Neodiprion lecontei: one gene and its partner. The protein of the gene in region 1 interacts with the protein of each later gene in a pairwise test. Links are inferred from orthologs where the notes say so. Each region holds a gene or a part of one and is shown on either strand. Other genes may lie near its edges.

Region 1 (5,622 bases):
TGCGTTCTTCATAGTCAAGCCGCCTTCCATACAAGGTTCGGAAACGGTCCATATACTCATTTTGTGGCATTTTGTTTTCTTACATCTGCTTGCTGAAACAGAAAATTTCTATGTCTTTTAATTAGCACATGTCGATGTTCAGATTTGGACAGTTGGCTAATTGATAATTACATATTTTATATATACTTGGTTTGAAAATTTACAAATAAATTTGATCTATTCTTTACAGCAAAGAACTTACCTTAGACTTTTTTTCAATCGTCGATTTCACAGATACACAGACATTACCTGTCCAACAATTATTTTTTCTTCGATCTCCCCACTTCAAGCCAAGGAATACAAAGCCATGATTTCTGGTTCTTGAAATTGACGCAACTTGTGATAACTTCTTAACAAACTCAATTTAATAACGCTAATTGAAAATATCTAGTTTTGATATAAAATTATTCAAATTCATTGAGTAAATGGAATATTTGCTTTCACAACTTCAGCAGCTACAACCAGACTGCCCAAATCTTGAATTAAAACGTACGAGTCTTATAATATAATTGCGTGATCGTACAAATATTGAGATTTGCAGACTAGCGATTGTGGTAATATTGTAGAGCGCGAAACTTGTACCGGTACAAATGTTACGCATAAGCTAAAGATGTACCCGAATCAATGAAGTAAAACTGTTGTATGACAGCAAAAAGCAAACATATCAAAACATAATAGAAAAAAAAACAGTAAGTTTGATGTAAACTATTTCATGAAATACTTTGGATTAGAGTCCAAAGGTTCGCCAAACACTGCCCCGTGAGAATAGCATGTGGGCGATTGGTGACGGAGGTTATTTTGTAGAAAATGAATGCTGCGAAAAAACATATGACCTTTAGCTAAAATTACATACATTTCGCTATGTTTCTATTACAAATCAGCGACTACCGTTGAAGATCGTTAGATTTCAATAGTCATCAGCGGTATCGCCAATGCATTTTGTAATGGAGAAGAGCACGCGCTGGACCGACCAAGTGGGCAGAAAAACGTGGCAAATGTCAGGATTAGGTAAAAGTAGTATTGGATCACAGCAGGATCGTTTTCGCGCATTTACAACAGCAGTTAAGCAGTTTCGATAGATAGAAATGTCGTTCAGGGCGTTAAATACCGCAAAATGTTAAGTATTTGAATGAAAATTAGAGAAACATATTCTAACTCACCTACAGCCGACCACGCCAGGAACAGAAAAGACCGCCGAGTATCGAAGCGGCTTAGAGGGAAAGTCGAGTGGATAAGAAATCTTTCTCCCCTTCTTGCGACGTTCACCTTATGCCATGAACCACGCAGATGCTGTGCGTTCCGTCGGTAATGCGTTAATACATTGGTATTAGACACGCTGCAATCTATTCAGTGATTTTATGTATGTATGCACACACAATCATGAATGCACAGGTCAAATTTCAATGTCACCATCGATTTATCTTACGCATTAAATCTACTATAATGTGCTTGAAATGATTGTTTAAATCGATACATAGACCAAACAGTTGACATAACGACGATTTCCATCTACCTTGTTCCGTCAGAAATTTGCATATAATATGTTTTTAGAATCAGTTGTACAGTCGGGAAAACTAAATGCTTCATTCGTTTTTTATATATACGTGCATAATTATAGTACGTCAACTATTTATTTAACGTTTCAATCGAATTTCAATGAGAGTTTCAGTCCTGTTCAAAGTTTTGGCTCGCAGCCACCAGTGAAGCGCTGTGGACACCTAGCATGACGAATCGTCAAAAGTTTGTGTCCGAAAAACTGTCACCAGATGGCGACAAGATTCTAAAGAGTTCCGGCGTTCTTTGCATGCGCATCTCTGCTTCTGCCCTGTCGCCCGTTGTCACCAATTCCAAGTTTTAGCGCCGCCAGCCGCGAGCCTAGACTCTAAATAGTTTAGAGATTTTTTATTAATTAAAGTTAATCGCAAATATGGGAGGTGACGAAGGCATCGGGGTTACAACAGGGCAGCCTAATTTATACAAGCAAGATTTATCGAAGCTCGTAAGTTCCGGCGTTAGCTATCCGCCTCGATTAGATTATCTTAGCCGACATATTTTGTACAGGCTACTGCCACTGCTGCTTTAATTCTCAAACATATTTTATCCCCTGGATATCACATTCCAGTTTGACGATGTTCAATTATTGCTTCGAAACATCGGCCGATGCTTTGCACTGATTAATTTTCGGAGAACTCGCTTAACAGCACTTTAACGTAACCTCAAACATCTATTCACGCGCTGTCCTTACACACGGTTCCGTATAATGGCGTGGCTTAGGGCTGGTTAAGAACTTCGTAGGGCCTAAACTTTGCTTTGAAATTCGCTATCCATGCATTATCATATTTACAATCAATCAACTAACTGTAATCGAGCTCCCCACATTCCCCTAGCGAATCGTGGCGCGTTATGGAGCGATTTTACGTGAACGTGCGATTTCACATGACAAATGAAAAAAAAAATATCCGTCCAATTTTGGAACGCATTATTCAAATGCATTGAATTAACGGATTCCTTCACCTGAATATGGGATAGAAACAAAACGACGCTAGGTTAGGAATCAATCACCTCATTATCTCAAATGTCAGATGGACTTGGGAATAGTTTTTTCATACAATATGTTGTAGGTTTAGAACTCATGGATTCATAGTGCAAACGAAAAATATTCACACCGCTCTACAGGAATAAGTGTATTTAACCCAAAGTAAATATTGTAACCAATTTTGATTAGCAAAGAACCAATGCACCTTGTTTCTTAGTGAAAGAATTCCAAGCGCATTTTTGTTAAATACCAGTTTAGAGACTTGCTTTCAGATATTGCTGGTTTAGAAATCAATATAAATGATGAATGAGTAAAAACATGAGTGATATCTTCTGATTTTTTTATAGTATTCATTTGAAAGCTTTATGCGAAGAATTTTAAGAAAGTTATTGATAATAAGACAAATTTGGTACTGAAATTAACCGTGAAATCATATAAACCTTTTTTTATTTCAGGATGTTGGTAAGTTGACTGCACTGTCCCGGGAAGTCATCAGCCGACAGGCGACGATAAACATTGGTAAGAACAATTTTTTGTGAGAAGTATCTAAACGATGTTATTAAAATATTAGAAACGACAAATTATACATGAATGCTAATTATTAAAATTACCTTATTATGTTTTCAATACCATTAGCATTCAGAGCTGATTAAATTACAATTTTCATTATTTTTCCACAGGAACGATCGGACATGTAGCCCATGGAAAGTCAACAATCGTCAAAGCCATTTCAGGCGTGCAAACTGTACGGTTTAAAAATGAGCTGGAAAGAAATATTACCATCAAACTCGGTATGCTTCACTTGAGAAATTATTTCAAATGTCTAATATAAAAATTTAGTTGATGATGGTATTTTTTTATAACTAGTAATAAGTACTAACTAAGTCATTATCGTATTATTCCTGAATGATTACTTTCAATTATCTAACCTTGTAGGACATGGAATGCTTCTAAGTTTTATTGACTTCTAAGAACTGTCCAAAACCTAGGCTTTCCTACGAATGTCTTCATGTGAACATATCTTGTTTCAATCAACTGGAGATTGTATACAAAGAATGGATACTCATTTTTCAACCCAAAACTTTACTTGTTGATACTTTGCAGAAACAACTCATAGCATCAAATGATCTCATTGCATGCATTAAATACATAGCACATTATTAAAAATAGTATCCAACAGTCGGGAAGGTCAGGATATTTAATCAACGAAATTTCACACAAAATCCAGGGTTCGCAATGCTTTTAAGCCACGTAATTTTAGGAAAAATAGAGAAACACTTTGTGAAAATAACGGGCTATTAGGGTTTCAATATTTTTTCATAGTATTTACCAAACAGAGCAAAATTAGATACACACTAGGGTGTACGTCATTTTGGTAATTTTGAAATTTTTTTAATTGTACCCCAAAAATGTGTTTGAATTGTAGAAAAATAAAATCCCCTGTAAATATAAAAATTTTCGCACAATATTCAGACGTACCGGAGGATGACTGAAATTTTGAATGTACAATACATTTAAATCTTCGCTACATATTGATTTTTTTTTTGTACAAACTAAAATGAATTGAAAACATAAATTCGATGGTTGAGAATAATGTTTCTATTTTCAACTAAATGTAGGATCGAAATAATTCGGGGGTAGCGTAAGTATTCCGTAGATAACGACACTCCATGAAACCGTAAAAATTATGGTCTTGTGAAAAATAGGTTACTTTCAGGGAAATAGGGGATTAATGTGTAGCTCGAAAATCTTGAGCAAACTTTACCACAGTCCTCAATTTTTTTAATTTTCTGCCCGTATCCGAGAGATATTTGACGGTGTTTCATTTTAGACATTCAAATTTTGTCGCAAAGCTTCTCATTTCTCTTAAATAAAATTCGTTCAGAAGAACAAAGGCGATACAAATGTTAATGAGGATAAAAGTAAAAGATATTGAAAAGCGCAAAAAAAAAAAAAAAAAGGTGGAAGCAACCCCACGTATGAAAGTGAAGTAATAAAGAAGATCGAAGAGGAAAAAATAGCATGTAAGAACGGAAAACGGTACCTATAATAAGAGAAGGTGCAAAATTTGGCGTGTCATGAAAATAAAAAAAAAAATAAATGAATAAATAAAAGAAACACTCGTGCTGAATCCTAAAGTAAAGCACAGGGGTCGAAAATAGAAACGGATCATTCACCAAAACAATGAAATGGTGAAAGAAATATCGATTTAATAAAAGTAAATAATCTTTGTCTCCTCCATGAAATAGAACGGATGAATCACGCCGTTTAAATCTTTGGCATTACAGAGCCACACCATGCGGAGGCGATCAACAAAGAAAATGGAAAAAACAGTGTCGAAGAGGCAGATCCTGCGGATAAAAGCCCGCCTCCGATCTCCAACTCGAGTACGTCCCAATTTACAAAAAAACGTGCTATATTTCGGAGCTCTGACGCAGAGCGTCCTGTCAAGATACCACGGCTTAGCGAGGGTGATAACGATAACGACACCGATGATGACAACGACAACGAGGATGATGACGACATTATTCACACTGTGACAACAAACGGTGAGAATTCGCCCAGTATACCCGAGGAAGAAGCGGCAACGGGAATTGAGGGGCGAATCCAGGCTGAGAATTTGGTGGCAGTCGAAGTAGATAAAAGAACGAAGTACAGTTTGAAAGAAGCAGTGATAAAACTTGAAGATATTGGTACAAAGATAAACGAACTTAAATCGAGTATAAAATCTTCGAACAATCGCGAGGATTTACACGAGGTGGAGAGAATATTAGATAAAAGATATTCAAAAGGAGTTGAAGTATACGCTGTGAAGTGGAAAGGCTGGGACGACAGCTTTAACACTTGGGAACCACTTTCGAATTTGACAAACTGTGCCGAACTGTTGGCAGCTTTTGAGAATTCAAATGCCGGACTGGTTGACACGTTTAAAAACCAGATCAATTACTATCCTTCGATGATGGAGATGGAGAGTCTTATGAAGAATTTCAAGCAGACAGGAAAGATAATGGATTATAAATTGCCAAATAAACAGGAGCTGAATGAAA
Region 2 (5,622 bases), on another chromosome or scaffold:
TACATTTCTGTATCGATAACTTTATAAACCTACATCAAAAAATTCACAATTTTATAGCTACAACCGTTTTTTAAGGAATTAACCAACCGTTGACAAATTTTCAGTCGATTTTCAGAATCCGTAGCACGTTATGCCACTCTCAATCATGATTATAGCTGTATTGTAACCCTTTCACTCTTCTATTATAGGTTAAGGGGGTGCCCTGGTCGGATTCGACGTGGACGTATGTATCTCCAAACATCAAAGTCCATGTATCGCATAAGCGAAAACGACCGGCTTAAACGTCCCACTCCATACACAATTTCGAACAGAAACCCTCCAATTCATTTTCATTTGACGCAGAAATAAATAAATTGCACGAATTCTACGAAATCGCATTAGTAAATTCGTAGAATTCATCCGTTCCTTAATTTTTCTGTGAAATAAAAATGTGTTGTTTTTTTTTTAAATTGCATATAGAATGGAGCTGTTAAGTCTTTTTTGCGTTCGATCGGGAGATACGTGGACTTCGATATTCGAAGATATACATATACGTCGAACGTCGAAATCGACCATAATAAAATTTATATATTGTCGGAAATTATCCGAATTTCGGATTTGATGTTGAAAATGTTAAATCAATGGCTCGTAACAGTCTTGAGATGATAACTAATGAATATACTGTATCTTATACTTATTGGTATAATTGTTTTAAAATCACGTCACATTCCATGATTTTCAATTAATTTTTGATGTGTGTATTTTATTTTACCCATTAAAGGAATCTTATGTGAATTTCTTATAACAAAATATAATTTATCGAGCCTGTCGAATTCTTCCGATCTGATATTTTATTACCTGTCGAAACCTAACCCTGTTTCCATACATGGTACATATTTCGGCGCCATAAAACGCTTGCAGAAAAACCTAATAAGAAAGTAGAAAACGGTATATCGAAAAACCGTAATGTGCGTTATTGAAATATTTATCATAAAAATATGATGGTGGTCTTACATTTTCAGATAATTAACTTGGACCATCGACGTATAATGAGAATACACGCCAAATAAATAAAAGCTTCAACGATCTATTTCTAAATAATTATCAGCATTAGATATAAGTATATGGAATGTATTAATGGGATCTACGGAATAGAAACATCAGACACCCCAATCGAAATTAAAATAGCTCTGTTTATATCAGGCTGCAATATTGGATTGTTCATTCCACAATCTATAATGACTGAATCCATTTACCTGCACCTACATCAACCGAAAGCACCACATGCTTATTAACTTATATACGGATTATCGGCACGGCAATTAATTCGAGGAGGAAAATTTCGTAATTAATTTATCCAAAAACTATTGTCATCATGATTATCTGCGAGGATGGCATTCATCCTTGCTGATGTCGAGCCGAATCTTGTTCGAGCAAATCGCGTCGTCCGAGATGGAGGTTGCTCGCATCCCTTCCGACTTCGACGGCTTATATCGTCGCTCCAGGTCGACCTAGAAAATTGAATTTTTGCATGGAGTTGGAGCAAAGCTTTGACTTGAAGTATCACCTAATTTTATACCCAGTAACCGTCACCTAGGTCGGAAACGTAGCAATTGTTGACCAGGGTGCGATCGCAGCGGAGATGCACAGTCTCAGCCGCTCGCAATTTTCGAGAAATTCTATACAAGAACTCGTTCGAAATCTTTTCCAACCCGTTGTCGAAAGTATGGAGCACCTGGTGACAAAAGCCCGACCACCAGGAACCCCAGGAAAGCTGAGGAAGAGCGATTATCGTCCGCTTACCCGGTTCCACCAGCTCGGAGACTCGTTGCGCGTACTACGTGAAACGCTTGAGGCCTCTCTCCATGGTCCGCGCTCGGGCATAGCTTGGGTGGGGACTTGGCAGTATCGTCATAACTCGTGCATCAGTTGTTTTGTTCGCATCTAAATAATTGCTCTCAAGTTAATTCGACATCAATAATAATCCGCAGTAATGGCAGACAAGGTAGCATCACCTGTAGCAGCCGCTACTCCAACCAGTCCGGCTGTACAAGCGAAGAAAGGTGCCGCTGCTCTGAAATCGCAGAAACCTCGTACCAAGCCGGCGCATCCTCGTACGTCTGAGATGGTCAACTCTGCAATTTCTACTCTGAAGGAACGCGGAGGTTCATCTCTGCAGGCTATTAAGAAGTACATCTCAGCTACGTACAAGATCGACGGAGAAAAACAAGCACCTTTCATCAAGAAATACCTGAAGGCTGCTGTCAGCACTGGAGCTTTAGTTCAGACCAAGGGCAAGGGAGCTTCTGGCTCGTTCAAGATTTCTGCTACGAAGAGTGAGACTTCCAAACCCAAGGTAAAACCAGCAGCACCAAAACCAACTGTACTCAAGAAGAAGGCTGCCCCCTCAGCCGTTTCTTCTAATAAGAAGGTGAGTGCCGCCAAGAAAGCAGCTGCAGCGAAAAAAACCGGCGCTGCTAGTAGTGTTGTCACAAAGGAAAAGCGTCAAGTCGCTAGATCCCCGGCCGCCAAACCACCAAAAGCAAAGAGCTCTTCCAAGGCCAAAAAAGTCGCTAAAGCACCTACAAGCAAGCCTAAAGCACCGAAACCGAAAAAGGCAACAGCTGCCCCGAAAACCGCCAAGCTAGCACCGAAGAAAGCGGCTGCTCCTAAAAAGAAGTAAATCGCTTCGATTTACAGGTGTCATCTACAATAGCAGTGAGCAGCAGCAGCAAGCAGCAGCATCAACACAAAAAAAACGGTCCTTATCAGGACCATCAAAAATTTTTTGCAAAACAAATTTGATCGTACGCACGTTTTCATGTTGATGGTGTATACATAAAATTTATGCCAAACATTTCGGAAATCGTTATTTTGAAGAGCAAATTACGAGTTATAAATTATCCGTATTGCCGATACTAGATAGTTGCTAAAATCAGACGAAAATTTATTTCTGTCGTCTTCATAGATCTTCGATAAACTATCAAATCTTTTAGCCAGCGAGTCGATTCGCGTTCACTAAAACGTCAGGAAGTAGTAGATCCGTCGATTGCTAGCATTATAGGGTTTTCCCTAAGCAAAAATGAAAGAAATTTATCGTCAAGCGGTGCTTTCTGCGTTTTATATGTACGCGCTACTCTAGTTGGTAAACGGTATATGTATAGAGAACAACGGACAGTCTATTACCAACGTTGGCACGTGACAGTTTATGAAGAACTTTCATCGGCCTAGTCAGGAGCTAGGTCGATAATTTACGAATCTGCCGTTATTTCAATGCTCGGAAACGATTACAAAAAAGAATTGAAGCTGACAGTCTGCCTGTTATAAATCCTAAGGATTGCAGTCTTGTCGAGTTTCTACTTCATTCAGGGTCCATGTATTCTCTTTTTCGTGTGCGAACGCGTTGAGGTTCAACCGGATGCGATTGTATTGGCTTTACGACCCATTCTGAATTCGCACGTCATGCAAGCGTAGCTTTGCACTGCTTACGCTGATCGAGACGAGTGAATATAATTTTCGCGTGTGAATTGACTACCTGTAAGTTCGGTGATAAAGTCACGCAGTTACGACACTCGTCGATGTACGTACAATAATTGCAATCGCTTAGCCTACGAGCTGAAGACACTTTTCGTTTGAGGTTAGGAAGAATGAAACGTCATATCGTATTTTATCGTAAATGTTGCATTTCCTTTCTCTTCCTAATTAATTTAAAACCAACTGTTGACATATCGGCCATGTGTTTATTATTGTCTTTGAAAATCATGAATATAATTTTTCCATTCCCGTCCTAATTTAGGACACAAACAATAAACTACATATTTATTTTCTCTTTTCAGCTAGCTTCAGTTGGAACAAGTTCATCTTGGGAAATCTTGAATTTGAACTATCTTCATGTTTATTATTATTAATATTAAAATTTTTTTATAATATAATCATGACATTTAATTTGTGGTAGATATACGTAGCAGCATTTCAATTTCGCAAACTCTTTTTTTTTTACTATTTTCAGCAATCATGATTTCTTTTCATGAATGAAATTTTTTAATTTCAGATTTATACATTATTAATTCCAGATATTTGCATATGTACTTTTGCAAGAATTTAATTTTTTACCTGTAGATTTATTTTTACAGATTGCATATTTTATATATTACTACAGAATCAATTTTATTTATAATCAATATATTTTTTACTAATGAATTCTTTTCGATGCTTTCCAATTAATTATGCCGGTATGGTATTACCGAAATAAATTAGTTAAATCAATATAAGTACAAAATAAAATGCGATCCATTGGTCAATTTACATTTTTTAATTCCGTAATTCCAATTGAATTACCCATTCTCAGACCCAAAATATCTACTGTCTCCGTGGTGTCCTGTGGTCCTGGACATGTCTTTGAATTTTTTTTTTTTTTTGTTGTATCCTGGAAATATTCTATTTTTAAAGTTTGCTGCAAATGATATATTTATTGACGTTCACTGAGTAACTGTTTGTAAAAAGTGGATTCCCACTTCAAATCGTATTTTTCCCTATTAACAGGTGTAGTAGAAGTAATGTATGCTGTCTTTCTGGATTATGTAGAGTGCCTTTTGCATACGTCTTTTAGTTTTCCTGCATGTTTTGAATAACCTAAAAATGCCTTAGAATTCGTTACGTATCTTCTACTAGACACCATGTTCTATCAAATCGTGTCAAATGAAGATGTATCCGAGTGTTTTTGTTCAGAATTGAGTTCAATAAAATGGGGGCTACTCTCATGCCTTCTCGCATTTGAGATACGCGAACCTTGATGTTCGGATGTTTACACGCAACTTTGTAATTGACGAGGGCACTACTTCGAAAGCAATTAAAATATAATGATTGGCAAGTACGGAGTCGATTTCGATGGAATGGTAGAATAAACAAAATTCGAAGTTCGTTGCATTATTACAAAAGTTGCAACAGCTCACTTGCTTTAGGAATTTGGTTAAATTGGATAAGCCCAACGAAAATTCATGTTCGGCATATATGTAGATTCAATTCTTGTGCATAAATTATTTTGGTGGCCCTGAAAAGGGCCGGTTAATTATTGGCTCATTGCAGAGCTATTTAAGCACGTTCACCACGAATACGACGAGCCAGTTGTATGTCTTTAGGCATGATGGTGACTCGCTTGGCATGAATTGCACACAAATTAGTATCCTCAAACAATCCAACAAGGTAAGCTTCGCTTGCCTCCTGAAGAGCCATAACAGCAGAACTCTGGAATCTCAGGTCGGTCTTAAAGTCTTGGGCTATTTCACGAACGAGTCGTTGGAACGGCAACTTGCGGATCAACAGCTCAGTGCTCTTCTGGTAACGACGGATCTCACGAAGTGCAACGGTACCAGGACGGTACCGATGCGGCTTTTTAACGCCACCCGTGGCCGGTGCACTCTTCCGTGCTGCCTTGGTCGCCAGCTGTTTACGGGGAGCTTTGCCACCAGTGGATTTACGAGCAGTCTGCTTAGTACGAGCCATAACGATGGATGCGGAGCTAAACGAGCGTGGCCAAACACGAAAGTTTAATGGAACCTGCCGGCGGACCCTCTGGTATATAACGGCGCGCTCAACCAGATGGTGCGCTCTGATTGGCCGGCGGACGTGGAGTGGGGATAAGAG

Evidence for each region. The genes of interacting proteins can lie anywhere in the genome.
Region 2: the proteins of histone-lysine N-methyltransferase SUV39H2 (region 1) and histone H1-like interact in binary tests that used the Drosophila melanogaster proteins (3 or more experiments, as listed by UniProt). The link is inferred for Neodiprion lecontei from reciprocal best matches to the Drosophila melanogaster genes Su(var)3-9 and His1:CG31617.

What each region holds. Positions count from the first base shown.
Region 1 is NC_060264.1:30,371,441-30,377,062, forward strand, and holds the start of histone-lysine N-methyltransferase SUV39H2, read left to right. Parts: upstream 1-1,822; 5' UTR 1,823-1,966; coding exon 1,967-2,038; intron 2,039-3,030; coding exon 3,031-3,094; intron 3,095-3,255; coding exon 3,256-3,366; intron 3,367-4,863; coding exon 4,864-5,622. Other genes in the region: ribosome biogenesis protein NSA2 homolog, read right to left, coding at 1-70. UniProt on the Drosophila melanogaster protein: Histone methyltransferase that specifically trimethylates 'Lys-9' of histone H3 using monomethylated H3 'Lys-9' as substrate.
Region 2 is NC_060263.1:38,371,355-38,376,976, forward strand, and holds histone H1-like, read left to right. Parts: upstream 1-1,909; 5' UTR 1,910-1,972; coding exon 1,973-2,662; 3' UTR 2,663-3,616; intron 3,617-3,815; 3' UTR 3,816-4,283; downstream 4,284-5,622. Other genes in the region: histone H3, read right to left, coding at 5,071-5,481. UniProt on the Drosophila melanogaster protein: Histones H1 are necessary for the condensation of nucleosome chains into higher-order structures.